3 linked regions of the Tribolium castaneum genome follow. The protein of the gene in region 3 interacts with the protein of the main gene of each other region in a biochemical or structural test. Links are inferred from orthologs where the notes say so. Each region holds a gene or a part of one and is shown on either strand. Other genes may lie near its edges. The genes, in order: Su(fu), fu and ci.

Region 1 (4,114 bases), on a different chromosome or scaffold from region 3:
TAGCTTTTTCATGCTCGGTAGAACTTCTGCAGAAATTCTCATCGGTTGTACTGTGCCATCAAACCTAAATTTGGTGACGTGACCGCTGGTAAAAGCATTTTCTCCCCGAACTAAAAAGCGATTACCGTCCCCAAAAAATTTCGCAATAAAGTGAAACTTAACAATGTGCTTTTCTGCCACTAAAATGCATAAATATAATAGTTTCTCAAAGTATAATTAAAGCTTACTCACTTTCTCACCGACAACGTGGTTCCCTGTATTCTTTTATAAAGTTCGTATTTTCACAAAAAGTCACTTCTAAATTAAATTAAAGTCTCTAGTGGCACAAATTACACCCGCTGCAGCTATTTGACACGTTATTAACGCACAAACACAACCAAAAAACCGAAAAACGTATTACACCACATGTAAAAGACTGGTTGTTTAGCTTTGAGCAACTGACCTACCGTAATAAGAGTGGGGAGGTGACGTCACGACTGATAGCGCGTATGAAGTAAATCAAACGACTTAATTTCACAGGCCATTTCGATAAAAAAATTAGAAAGCATGGTATAAAAATAAAAAACCTAATTCAAAAGAAAGCATCTTTATTCGTTTAGAATCAAGTGGGACAGTTTACAGGTCTATGGTACATAATATGGGTTACTTTTTGTACTTTAAATCCGATATGTATAGCATATGGGGGGTTGTTCTATTTAAGTTAGGTAATAATAAATAATGTAATAAATTAATTGAGTAAACCTAAGATAAGAAATATGCCTACATATTGCTTTTGATTATTTCGTGAGACTAAGGCTAAATTAAACCTATTTTAGTCTTATTATGATTAATGAGATAACTGTAAATACTATAACTTGTCCGCTACAATAGTCACAGATAACTTTTTGTCGGGCCATGAGAATGTTTTTGGTAAAGAAAGCGCCTCTGGAGTGGCCAGAACTTGAAAAGTAACCGCCATATCCTGAGCTAAATCGTCGGTAATAAGTATTTGTAGCCATGAACCCTGAGCTACATAAGGGTGTTCTGAGTTCACCAACGTCCCTGTAACCGTACCTGCCACTAGTGTTATGGCAGTTTCACCCAAAACTGACTTAAATGTGAAATGTCTACCATGTCGTACGCGCCCCCTTTTCAAAAATAAAAAATAGAAACAACACCAACACGTAAAATTCCCTCACCTGATGGCCAAAGGGAGTAAACTCCCAGCCTCCAAATTAAAAACCAAATGGACGCCCTCTAATTTCTTTATGTGCAACAACTCAGTTGACTCGTCCATTTTGAAATTGGTGCTACTGGAGCGGTTTTGTTCAAAGTTGCCACTCTGTAGCGGTTTTTGAGGTGAATTTAACAGAGTTACGTCCTCTTGAGCTTGGAAATTGTCACAATCGGACTTTTCTTTCAAATGCATTATGTCAATACGAGCAGGGTCTTGCTCAACCCATGAACACCTAGCGCTGACTCCGCTCAAATTGGAGCCCTCTAACTCAAACCCTCGCTCGACTTCCTCGTGCGCGTTTAAATCAAGCTCAAAAATGCTCTCCCCTCGCCTCATATCCGTGATAAACCAAGGCCCCCCAGCACTAAAACCCAGACTTAAGTTTTACGAAAACGTGATTGGTGGTGCGATTTACGACGGTATTCTAGTTATCATATCAAGCACCCCGGCCCCGTTCCACTGCTGGGCTGCTTTCAGCTCCTCGGCGCAAATACCAACAATTTGGACGAAATCGACAGAACCAAAAGGCGTCTGTATTGACTTCAAATGCACGTCTGTGGTCATCAACATGTGCTGTATTCGTGACTCGCTGCTATCTAACGCGCAGTGCCAGGAAACGTGGTCACCAGCACAAAGAGTGTTGCCTGACTGAAAAACGTATTTCGCTAAAGATTGCATTAAAGTTGCGGGCCAGGTGGGCGGTGCCGTCTCTTCAGGCTCCCGTTTTAGCCTAAATGTTAGCTCAAAACCAAAACCTGAAACACCATTAGCTCCTGACACGTCGTGCACTCGCCCGTCACCGTGAAGGTCTGAGAGACCAAAACTAAAATTTTCGTTTATTAAATATTTCACTTAAAAGATTGCTACCTTATGTAGTGCCAATGTGGAGGAATGTTTTCTTGTGGAATGCCTGGATTTGCATACATTGATATGTAATCTAAAGGATCGGGCCCTCCCAGCCTATAAAAAAGTATCCCCTCGTTTAAAAATAAAATAGGTCAGCTCCCCTGTTTACATACAAGGGAAGCAGACAGAAAAAACAGGAAGTGACTATAAATAGAACCTGAGTCAAATTTTAATTTAATGGAAATTTCGCACAATTATAAGCCCGGCAATTGCCAAAATAATTACATGTACGTTAAATTAAACGAATTATGTAATTTTATTGCAAAAATCACTTGCCAGTACTTGATGAGGGCCGTGACTTGAAGGGGGTTGGCTTGATCGGGGTAAATTTTCCTACATAGCGTGTACAAAGACTCCAAACCTGCTGGTGTCGGTGGCAGAATGTTCATTGGGGGTCCATGGGGCAGAGCAGCAGCTTCATTCATTGTTCTATTGGGCCCCCCCAACTTTAAAACTTTACAAACCAACACCTCTACTTACTAGAAATCGGCAGAAAGTATTATATTTAGCCGTTTGTTACCACTTTAGAACATTTTACACTTCCGTCCAGACCAATAAAAGAAAATATTTCAAGAATGCAGGAACAACTTTTAGGCAACCCGCCAAACAAAACAAGAGTAACCTGGCTCGGTAACTCACCAAACAGAAATTTCCCTAGAGCCCGTTCGAAAAGTGGGTGCAAGGGGTGGCTTTTGGCGTTGTTAGGTTGCTTGTCGTTGCGACAATTAAACTAACCTCTAATCCAGCAGTCAAAATAAGGACATTTTTGTATTTCTCAATCGTTGCGAAATTATTATCGTTGAAACGCTTCGCGGTTTTTGCACGAAATTGTGTTAGTTTCCGCGTTTGTGTAATGTAGGTGTTGGGAGCGTTATCGATCGCCACAATGTTGGATTCTTCGCCTGAAGACGAAGATTTTCCAGGCCGGCTCCTACACCAGGTTCGTTCCTTTAACTAGTTAATTTGCAAAATTTGATTGTTGTTTTAAGGCCGCGTTATGGGACAACACACATTTACTCATGGACTTGCTAGAAGGGGGCCAACAGGCCTTCCTGAACTCGCAGGACAGTTGGGGGAGAACCCCCCTACATGCAGCTGCTATTAATGATAATTCAGGGTGTTTGACAATTTTACTAAATGCAGGGGCCGATCCTAACATTCGGTGCGGCCCAAGAGGCGACCAGAAGGTTTGTTTTTAATTAATTTTAGCAGTTGTAGGAAAATAATTGCTCTCGTTTTAGATTCCTTTGCATTTAAGTGCCGAACATGGGCATAACAGTAATGTCTCAATTTTACTGCAGCATGATTCAGATATTCAAATTCTGGATGCGAATGGAATGAGTGCTCTCGATCTGGCTGAAAAAGCGGGGCATGTGAAGTGTGTAACACTATTGAAAGAAGCTGTGGGTAAGTAAATAATCCCTATTCAATTTTTTTCTCAGGGTTATATACTGCTCAACGAATACTTATTGTCAGTGATTATAAACTCTTGTACAACAGGACATTATGTAATATAATGTACATAAAAAATGTACATTTTCTGAGTGACTTAATTTAAAAGTATTTGTATGTCTTGGAACACTTTGTAGTTATTATTTAGATTAATTTAAAAGCCGGAAGAATACTTTCCAACTTTTGTTTTTATTAGTGTATAACATTTTTTTATACAAACTCTCTACTTTGGAATTTTAAACATACTGTGACTGATTAACACAACAAATAAAATTGGCCAAAATAAAAGTGAAGACGCAATAAAAAAATGTTACTCAAAAGTGTAAACTTTGAGACATATTAATAAAATTTGCCTAAGTCACGAATTACATGCTGTATTTGTGTTTGCATTAAATCTCTATCAATTAAATTAACGGAAATACCTTAAATTATTAGATAAGCCAATTCTTTTTATAAAACAGTGTCTATTTGTACTTAAGATTAAATCTTAATACAATTTTTAAGACTTCGTTCTACATAATAATTTTGCTACCAATTTTG
Region 2 (4,180 bases), on a different chromosome or scaffold from region 3:
TCGTAATGACCTCAGTAGTTACACAACTTTTGACTCACTTGATTATATCCTTGAGTATGGAAGACAAGGCAGCCCCCTCGAAATTTATCATAAAAACAGTTGCGGGACAATTTCTAGATAAACAGGAGAAGCAAATGTCGTCAAAGTCGATTTTATAAATCTTGAAAGTTTTTTTTGTAATATTACCGCCATCGTTTTGTTTACATTTATTTAGAGGTTAGATTTTCTGCACGAAGTCATTTTCATTTAACACGACATGATTGTAACAATTTATTATAAAACTGGTCGTTTTAACGTAAAAATACACATAAAAATCAAGCTCTTGTCACTCTAGGTCCACTCATCATTTTTTCTCTAATAGCCCACCTCAAGTCGGTTCTGTTGTCTTCACCTGGAATTTTTTGTCGCTTCCAACACTTTTGATATTGGTGGTAGAGTGCGACAGGGTCACTCTTATTAATATTTGTTTGAATTCCCGGTCTTATGACTACAAGCTTAAACGTAAAAAAACTTACAAACACTTTAAAATACTTACAGGAACTTTTAGGTTTGCTAGAATTAATCATTTTTTTCCAAGGCACATCTTTAACGGGCACAAAGTCAAGCGTGTCTTCTTGACCCTTTTCAGGGGCTGTTTGTGCCTCCAACGTGTTTTCGTGACAATGGTGTTGTGGTCCTTTACTTGTCTTGATTTTTAACGAAATTACACTTTCTTTCTTTGAAACTGTTTTGGCTCTTGAAGAGTGAGTCCCTTGTGAATGTAAAACTAGAAACACATCATCTTTATTTTTTTCGTTTTCGTTCGGCACATCTGTTTCATTTCCAAGGCTTTGTTTGCTTCTCTTGCGTTCTTCATACTTTATCAATTTTTTCAAGTCTGAAAACCAAACTTTTGTTCAATTAAAGTAACAAAAAATGACTCACCAACCGTAAACAAATTCTTTCAATTGTTGTGGGTTAATGTTGTGATAACCCAAGTCATTTAAATACGCTAATACTTCCCTAGGGCTTATTTTTGTGGTCATTTTTAAGAAAAAAAATAAGAAAACGTTGAAACAAAACCTTAAATTTCTAGGCAACATACGAAAATCAAATTCCCTAAAAGTGGGGACATAAAATAAGTGTTACAAAACCTCGCAGTTGGTTAATTTCACAATAACGTTGATTTTATTAAACACTGCTAATCACAAAATCATTTTTATCAACAAAATTGGTATTTCTTTGCAAAAAATTGCTTTCCACCCAGTCAGTTACTTTCACGAGGGTTGGTGTCCCTGCCTGTCAGCGTGACAAACATCTGATTGTCAAAAAAATGTCACGCGGAAGTGTAAGTAAACAAAAACAATCCTCTCCAAGTGTAAAAAATGATATGGACAAGTATGAAGTTATTAAATTATTGGGCGAAGGATCGTTTGGACGAGTTTACAAAGCGAAAGTAATCGCAGATTCATCTTTTGTTGCCTTAAAAGTTATCTGTAAAGTGAGTTAAAAACTGAGGCTCGAACTCGTTCAAATTTATTTCATTTAGGGTCGAAGATCGAACAAGGAAATAATTGGTCTACGAAGGGAATGTGAAATTCAAAGACATTTGCATCATCCCAATATTATACAAATGCTTGATTCGTTTGAAACTCCAAATGAGGTGAGACAATTTTTCCCAAGTTCTTTTCGTTTTTTAAACAGATTTTCAATGTACCGTACAAATGTTAGGCAACCAACACCAAATCTGGTGATTTTCGTGTTAATTTGGTGAAAACTGTATAAACATTTTGTTTAGTGATTTTAGAAAAATGCTTTTTATACAAACAATCACATTTACAAAAATTTTGATTCACTGTTCAACGTCTGTTGTTATTTTTATTTAAGTATGATTTAACAAATTAAATGGGATAGTAGAGACAAGATGGAGTTTATTTTTTTTTTAATAAATAAAAAACCAATGTAAATTAGTCTGCTATCCCAGTAATGATTTAAATCATACTTAAATTTACAAAAATTGTAAAAAGTTGTGGTGACACCAGAAATCTAACAGTATTCCTCCAACATATGTTAAATTATTTTTATGTTTAATTATTTGTAGAATTTGTGTTCGCAATGAAATTACATTTTTTCATGTTATTTTTTATTATTTTTTCAGTTTTCTTTTATTTTCGTATCGTTTAACTGCTTGTCTCATAATTTTTTCTTTCTATCTTCGTTTAATTTTGTGTGTTTTCTTTTATGCCTTTTTTGCATTTTTTTATTTTGTTTTTTTTTAATTTTGTGGGTTTATTTCTCCTGCGACATTATTCTATTCGTTGCTTTAGCATTTCTTTTTCATATTACCATTGCTTTACTTTTTGTTTTTTTTTACCTTTTGCTATATTTCTTTCATATTATATTGTCTTCAGTTTATGGCTTCGTCTTTTGTAGTTTGTCGTTTGTGGTTTATTCTGTTCTTTTTTTTCTATTCTACCGAGTGCTCAAAAACCGACGCACCAACTTATTGGAATATGGTAGAGAATTGCTTACATATAACGGTAAAATTAGTAAAAAAATTCTTTGTATTAAAATTATTGATAAATAATTATATTAATTATATTATATATAATATATATATATATATATATTATAAATATATATATATATTATAAAAAATATATATAATTATAAATATTAATTATATTTAATTAGATGATATGTGGCAACGTTGTCTAACAGTGATGATCGCAATAGAACTTAATCAACAATAAAAATAAATTATTTTTGAAACGGTTTCCTAAGTAATAATTCCCAATGTTGACACATCTACAAATTGTGATTTTTTTGACGAATTTTATTTTTTTTAATTAAAAAATCTGCTAAAGTCTGATAGGAAATTTAAAAATAATTATTCATTGTTGTGTTAGGGAACGATTACTTAGTGTGAAACATAAAACTATTAAAAAATAATGAAAACTGAAGAAGTTTACAAAATAAGTTTGTAGCTCCATATTTTTTAAAATATGACATTAGGAATTTTTTCAAGATTTTTTCCGTGATCTACACATGCTTCTCAACAGCGTACCACTGAGTTGGTGCGCCAGTTTTTGAGCATCCTGTATAGTTCTATACAGTTTTATTCTATTCTATATAGTTTTTTCTTAATCATCCTTTTTTTACATTTTCAATAATGTTTTTTGAGGCCATCTTTTCCAATTTTTTATTTTTTTATTTAAAATTTAGATTTTTTGTCTTTATTGGTTATTCTTTATTTTCTTATTTTCTCTTTCAAGTAATTTCGTAAAACAATTTTTATTTCCTTGTACTGTTTTTTCCTTATTATTTTTGCCTATTATCTATTAATGATCTTGTTGCTAAATTAAATTGTTGTAATCAGTTGATCAGACGATCTAAAAATTTTTGTTTGAAACACCAAATAAAGAGAGACAATTTTTCCTTATATTTTACTAAGTTCTTTTCGTTTTTTAAACAAAGATTTTCAATATAGTGTATAAATGTTAGGCAACCAACACCAAATCTTGTGATTTTCGTGTTAATTTGATGAAAACTGTGCAAAAATTTTGTTTGGTGATTTTAGAAAAATGCTTTTTATACCAACAATCACATTTACAAAAAATTGTATTCACTGTTCAACGTCTGTTGTTATTTTTATTTAAGTATGATTTAATAAATTAAATGGGATAGCAGAGACAAGATGCAGTTAATTTTTTTATATAAATAAAAAATCAAAGTAAATTGCTCCTTGTCGGCTATTCTAGTAGTGAATCAAATTATCCTTAAATTTACAAAAATTGAAAAATAATGTTTGTGAATTACGCAGGACTGAGTTGTGGTGACACCAGAAATCTAACACAATTTGAAATCAGGAAACCAGTTACAATCTGAGTATTCCCCCAACATATTTAAAATTATTTTTATGTTTAATTATTTGTAGAATTTTTGTTCGCAATGAAGTTATTATTTTTTCAGTTTTCTTCTATTTTCGTATCGTTTGACTGCTTGTCTCACCATTTTTTTCCTTCTGTCTGTTAAGTGAAGGGGGCGCTGCTGTTGAAATTGGCGGGAAATGATGACGCGTGAGGCGCGTACGGGCAACGCCTAGTTAGTTGGAAGGACACTGTGGAAGTGTCAATGTCGTTGTTGAATCTAATTTGCTAATAAATTAGTTTTTGGGTGAATTCCGAGTTTCATTTACAGA
Region 3 (4,150 bases):
CTTTATCTAGTAGGAATATTCATAGTAAAGGTATTGAAATGCAGACGTTATTCTCAAACACGTTAAATAAATGTGTTTGTTTACCTCATATACTTGTAAATAGAAAAAATTACATTGTTTGATTCATTTCTCATGTAGGTATACCTCGGTTCTTTTTTATCGCTTTGATGGCAACGTCACAAAGACGTTTTATGAGGTGAAATTGGTCACAAACATTTGATTTACGTTGGAAAGAAGAATGTTATAATTGGATTCTACTAACAAATTTAGAGCAAATGATGAGCTCCACTGTTTCATAAACAAAAAGAATTATAAAACTCGATTCAATGACCATAGAAATCTACACATTTGTGAAAAAAATCCTTGGACAATCGAATTTGTTCTTGTTTCCGTTCATCATACCTATGATTCTTTGATTTCATATCTAAGAGATGAGGGTCCAAGGTTTGACATTATCAACATTTTTTTAAATGAGATACATAATCCTCTTTTTGAAGCCATAAATGAAAAGTTCGCATTTTTTACGCTTTTGTAGTAATTTACTGGAGACAATGGGAACAAAAGGGGTAGGTTTTATAGGTAGACGTTTCAGTATGTTATTTTTTTCAAATTTTAAGTAAATTTGCGAATTTTTTTTGAACAATTACAAATGGAAAGGATGTTTTATTTGATGAGTTCTGTTACTTGTTAAAATTAATACATGTATTTCTGATACACTCTGTATTTATAAAAAGCATAAGCGTGTATGCTCCGGTTTTAGGCAAAAAATGTCCACGTGTCCAATTCTTTTCATACAATTTTTGCACTATTTACACTATTTACACTATACAAATTTGATTACAGGTATAGTTTGCCGTATTTGTGCCTACACTTTGTTAACTTAACGAATTGTTAAAACACATGAGTATATAAAAACTACCTACATGATATTACATTTCATTCAGAATCCACTTAGCACAATTGTGTATTTGATGTTTGTTTTTCTTTTCAGCTAAAATATGTTACATGTTTATTTACAGACTGTTACAAAACGTAAAGTAGCACATTTTTACTTTTATTAACTACACACTACTACTATGTTTTCCTTATTTCATTTCTCGTACAGCAAAAACTTTCATTATCTCAGAAATGAAAAGCGATATAACTATGAAATCGTAGCGAGTGAGAAGCCTAGAAAATGGAAGGTTTATTGATATAAATGGAGGCTCCTAATTCGCTGCTACGCCACTGAGTAAATAAGAGAGTACAGAATGTGAGTCCATTCCCTCGCAGTCGGTCTGGGTTGGCCCCTCCCCGGGCTCCCTTCTTCCACACTCGTTAGTTGAGTTGTAAGGCCTGCCTGTCAACTACTCGCCTGCCTCTACTCTAGTTAGTTGTCCGTAGTCTATAGGCTGGTTGTGTTGTACTATACCTATTAGCAAATAAAGCATGTGCCTTACGCATCACCAGCAAGTGCCTCCGCGACGATGCCTCTCCTATTATTAGCCGCTCCGAATTGCCCTAAGTGCCTGGATTAAGTGTCTAGACTGGATAATACCCGCACCGATTCAAGCCCAATTACCGCCCCATAAAAATAAATTCAAATCGCGATGCTCCGGCGCGGAAAACCGCGAACTCGTGTGCCGCAGCCTTTAATTGAGACATATCCAATTAGCTAAGAAATTGCTAGATGACAGCGCTGATGACCGGTAGCGCGTTTTTGTGACAATCAGTTGTGACACAATTTAGTGATGTGACTAGTGCGATATGCCCGAAAAGGAGGCGGATTTTCAAGCCGCTATGTCTGCTGGTCTACCGTTACAGTTCCCGTCGGCTTTTGCGGCTTTCCACGCGCCTCTTCCCGTTGACCAACGCACGCACGAAGGACGATACGTCTGGGACCCCAGGATGCAGCCGCCAGGAGCGCCCTTCCACCATCCCACGCCGCCAGGGTGAGTCCAGCACGCTGACAGTGCTGCTCAACACTTGCGGAACGGCAATTGAGCAAAAACCTATATCTATATCAAGTCATATACACTGAACTCTTTTCTAAATCGTACTGAAGAAGAAGCAAACTTGTTGCTTTTAATTTTTGCATTCCATAACATTTAAAAAAGTTTGTTACGTATAGAGGTCATCTTCACTTAACAATTTGAGTTAAATTTTTATCACCGAAACGTAAAGATAAACTCATTATTAATGGCTGGGAACGTGAAACCAACTCGACAACGGGAAGTGGTCGTCCGAAAATAATGTATAACTGTTCTGGTCATTGTCGGAGATGACGCTATTGGTTTTTAACGGCATTTGACTACGTTTTTATCTCAAAAACTGGTCAACATAAATTTGAATAAAAACAAAGAAACATAAAGAGCGAATTGATTTAAAAAGCAATTCTAGAGAGAAGAGGATTCTCTAGGTATCACTGTTACTACAACTGTAATAAAAAAGATATTTTTGACTCGGTCCACTTTTATTACCCTCATGATGTTCCAAGCGTTTTAAACAGTGAGACAAGCTAAAAGGTAACTACTTGTTAGCAGCAGTGCTACTTTTCTCTAAGTAGCAACTTCCAAATGGTGCTTAATTATTGAAGAAAGGAAGATTTGAAAGAATAGAAGATTTTGATTAAAATTATATTCATATTCAAATTCGCAAAAGGTGAATTTTTTGAGTAGCCAGTTTCATTCTCTTATTTGTAAAAAAAATATATTTGTTAACATAAAGGCAGGTTCACACCTAGAAAGTAGTAAGTAGAGATCATACTTAAGCATAGATATTTTTAAAAAAAACAGGCTATTCCGTCTAAACCCCACATTAGAAGTTCTAATAATGATACTCATCTAAAAATTTACACACAACCTTAATCCGTTAGGTCCTGATCAATGAAAATATTTTGAACATGGCAGCACTTCCGGTTATACCGGAAGTCGTTATCAACTTTTTTATTTTCAATCGGAAGCTGTACTTATCTATCAGCTTTCCCTATACCTAAATTTACTTGTTTTCGAAATATTTAGGGTTTTTTGAAAATTTTTGGATTTGCTTCTTTGACTTTAAAACTTTATAACTCTGCCGGTTTTAAAAATTGGAAAACTTTTTTGGCTTTGAAAGAGAAGGTATAATAAATGTTTTCTTGGGTGTTTTCTTTTTAAAAAAAGTTAGCAGTAAATTTTTAAGATTAAATTTGCAGAACGTTTTAAACACCTATAACTTAAAATTTTCAAATGAAATCCCACAATTTTTATTTAACTAAATGGTAAACTTTTCTTCCATATTTTGAACATACTGAAGGAACGTACTTTTCTTCTTTGATTATCCAAATACGATTTATAAAACTCAAAAAACGTCAGTGTTATCGATTTTTGAAGTCAAAGATGCAAATCTGAAAATTTTCAAAAATAACTCGTAAATATCTCGAAAACGGATTAATTTAGGTGTAGGGAAGCGGATGAAAAACCTCTTGAAGTAACTCGAGTTATTTAAGAACGCAGTAAAAAACATATCTTTCTATTATGCTATTAAAAATTACTTCTTGGTGTCCTTTCCTTTTTATAAAATCATGGTTCGAGTTGGTGGTGCCTATTTTGGTTGTGAATTTTTCGTTACAATGATGCGTCTGTCCATCAGACAATTTGTTGAGCTGATACAAAAAGTGTCGAATCACGTTCGATGTTGGCTCTTTTGGTTTACGGTTGGATCCTATTTCTTTGTCTATAGACACGTAAATTTGTCATTGTCGGTAATCATCCAGGAAAGGATAATTTATGATTATTGACTTGGAAGTTTGAACTTGCATTGAGAGTGGAGAAAAATTTGACAGTGTTCCAGTTATTATTTAAATTTTTTGAGTGTGATGAAACAAGCCGGTAGTGTTTACGTTGACGCAACAAAGTTTTACGAGTTGCTCCCTCATCCATTAAAGACTTTAAAGCAAGACGTAAATAAACATCTTCTAATGTGGATTTTCTGCAATTTGTAGGATTTATTTAGGGATTTTAGACCGGAACATCCGAAATAACAAACATTTTAACGACATCGTTAAGGTATAGACCCACCGAAAGCCATTCAATCCGTCCCTAACAATCTCTTTTCTCCGAATCGACAGCACGTAACATTGACGCATTGCCTGAAATCCTTAGGATTTCAACAAACTCATGATCTCTTTTGT

Evidence for each region.
Region 1: the proteins of ci (region 3) and Su(fu) form a complex in vitro, tested with the Drosophila melanogaster proteins (2 studies listed by BioGRID). The link is inferred for Tribolium castaneum from reciprocal best matches to the Drosophila melanogaster genes ci and Su(fu).
Region 2: the proteins of ci (region 3) and fu form a complex in vitro, tested with the Drosophila melanogaster proteins (2 studies listed by BioGRID, with this or other methods). The link is inferred for Tribolium castaneum from reciprocal best matches to the Drosophila melanogaster genes ci and fu.

What each region holds. Positions count from the first base shown.
Region 1 is NC_087397.1:4,508,485-4,512,598, reverse strand, and holds Su(fu) (suppressor of fused homolog), read right to left. Parts: upstream 2,794-4,114; 5' UTR 2,548-2,793; coding exon 2,399-2,547; intron 2,177-2,398; coding exon 2,084-2,176; intron 2,040-2,083; coding exon 1,632-2,039; intron 1,581-1,631; coding exon 1,179-1,580; intron 1,128-1,178; coding exon 848-1,127; 3' UTR 571-847; downstream 1-570. Other genes in the region: uncharacterized protein LOC107399185, read right to left, coding at 1-179, 232-232; Lrrk (leucine-rich repeat serine/threonine-protein kinase 1), read left to right, coding at 3,009-3,062, 3,112-3,309, 3,364-3,529.
Region 2 is NC_087395.1:1,160,822-1,165,001, reverse strand, and holds the start of fu (serine/threonine-protein kinase fused), read left to right. Parts: upstream 1-1,312; coding exon 1,313-1,480; intron 1,481-1,528; coding exon 1,529-1,642; intron 1,643-4,180. Other genes in the region: centriolar and ciliogenesis-associated protein HYLS1, read right to left, coding at 315-487, 536-877, 929-1,082. UniProt on the Drosophila melanogaster protein: Probable serine/threonine-protein kinase; maternally required for correct patterning in the posterior part of each embryonic metamere. May be involved in control of cell division during metamorphosis and ovarian development. May interact with costal-2.
Region 3 is NC_087394.1:31,429,216-31,433,365, forward strand, and holds the start of ci (transcriptional activator cubitus interruptus), read left to right. Parts: upstream 1-1,298; 5' UTR 1,299-1,746; coding exon 1,747-1,931; intron 1,932-4,150. UniProt on the Drosophila melanogaster protein: Has a dual function as a transcriptional activator and a repressor of the hedgehog (Hh) pathway. The full-length ci form (ciFL), acts as an activator (ciA) while ciR, its C-terminally truncated form, acts as a repressor. Involved in segment polarity.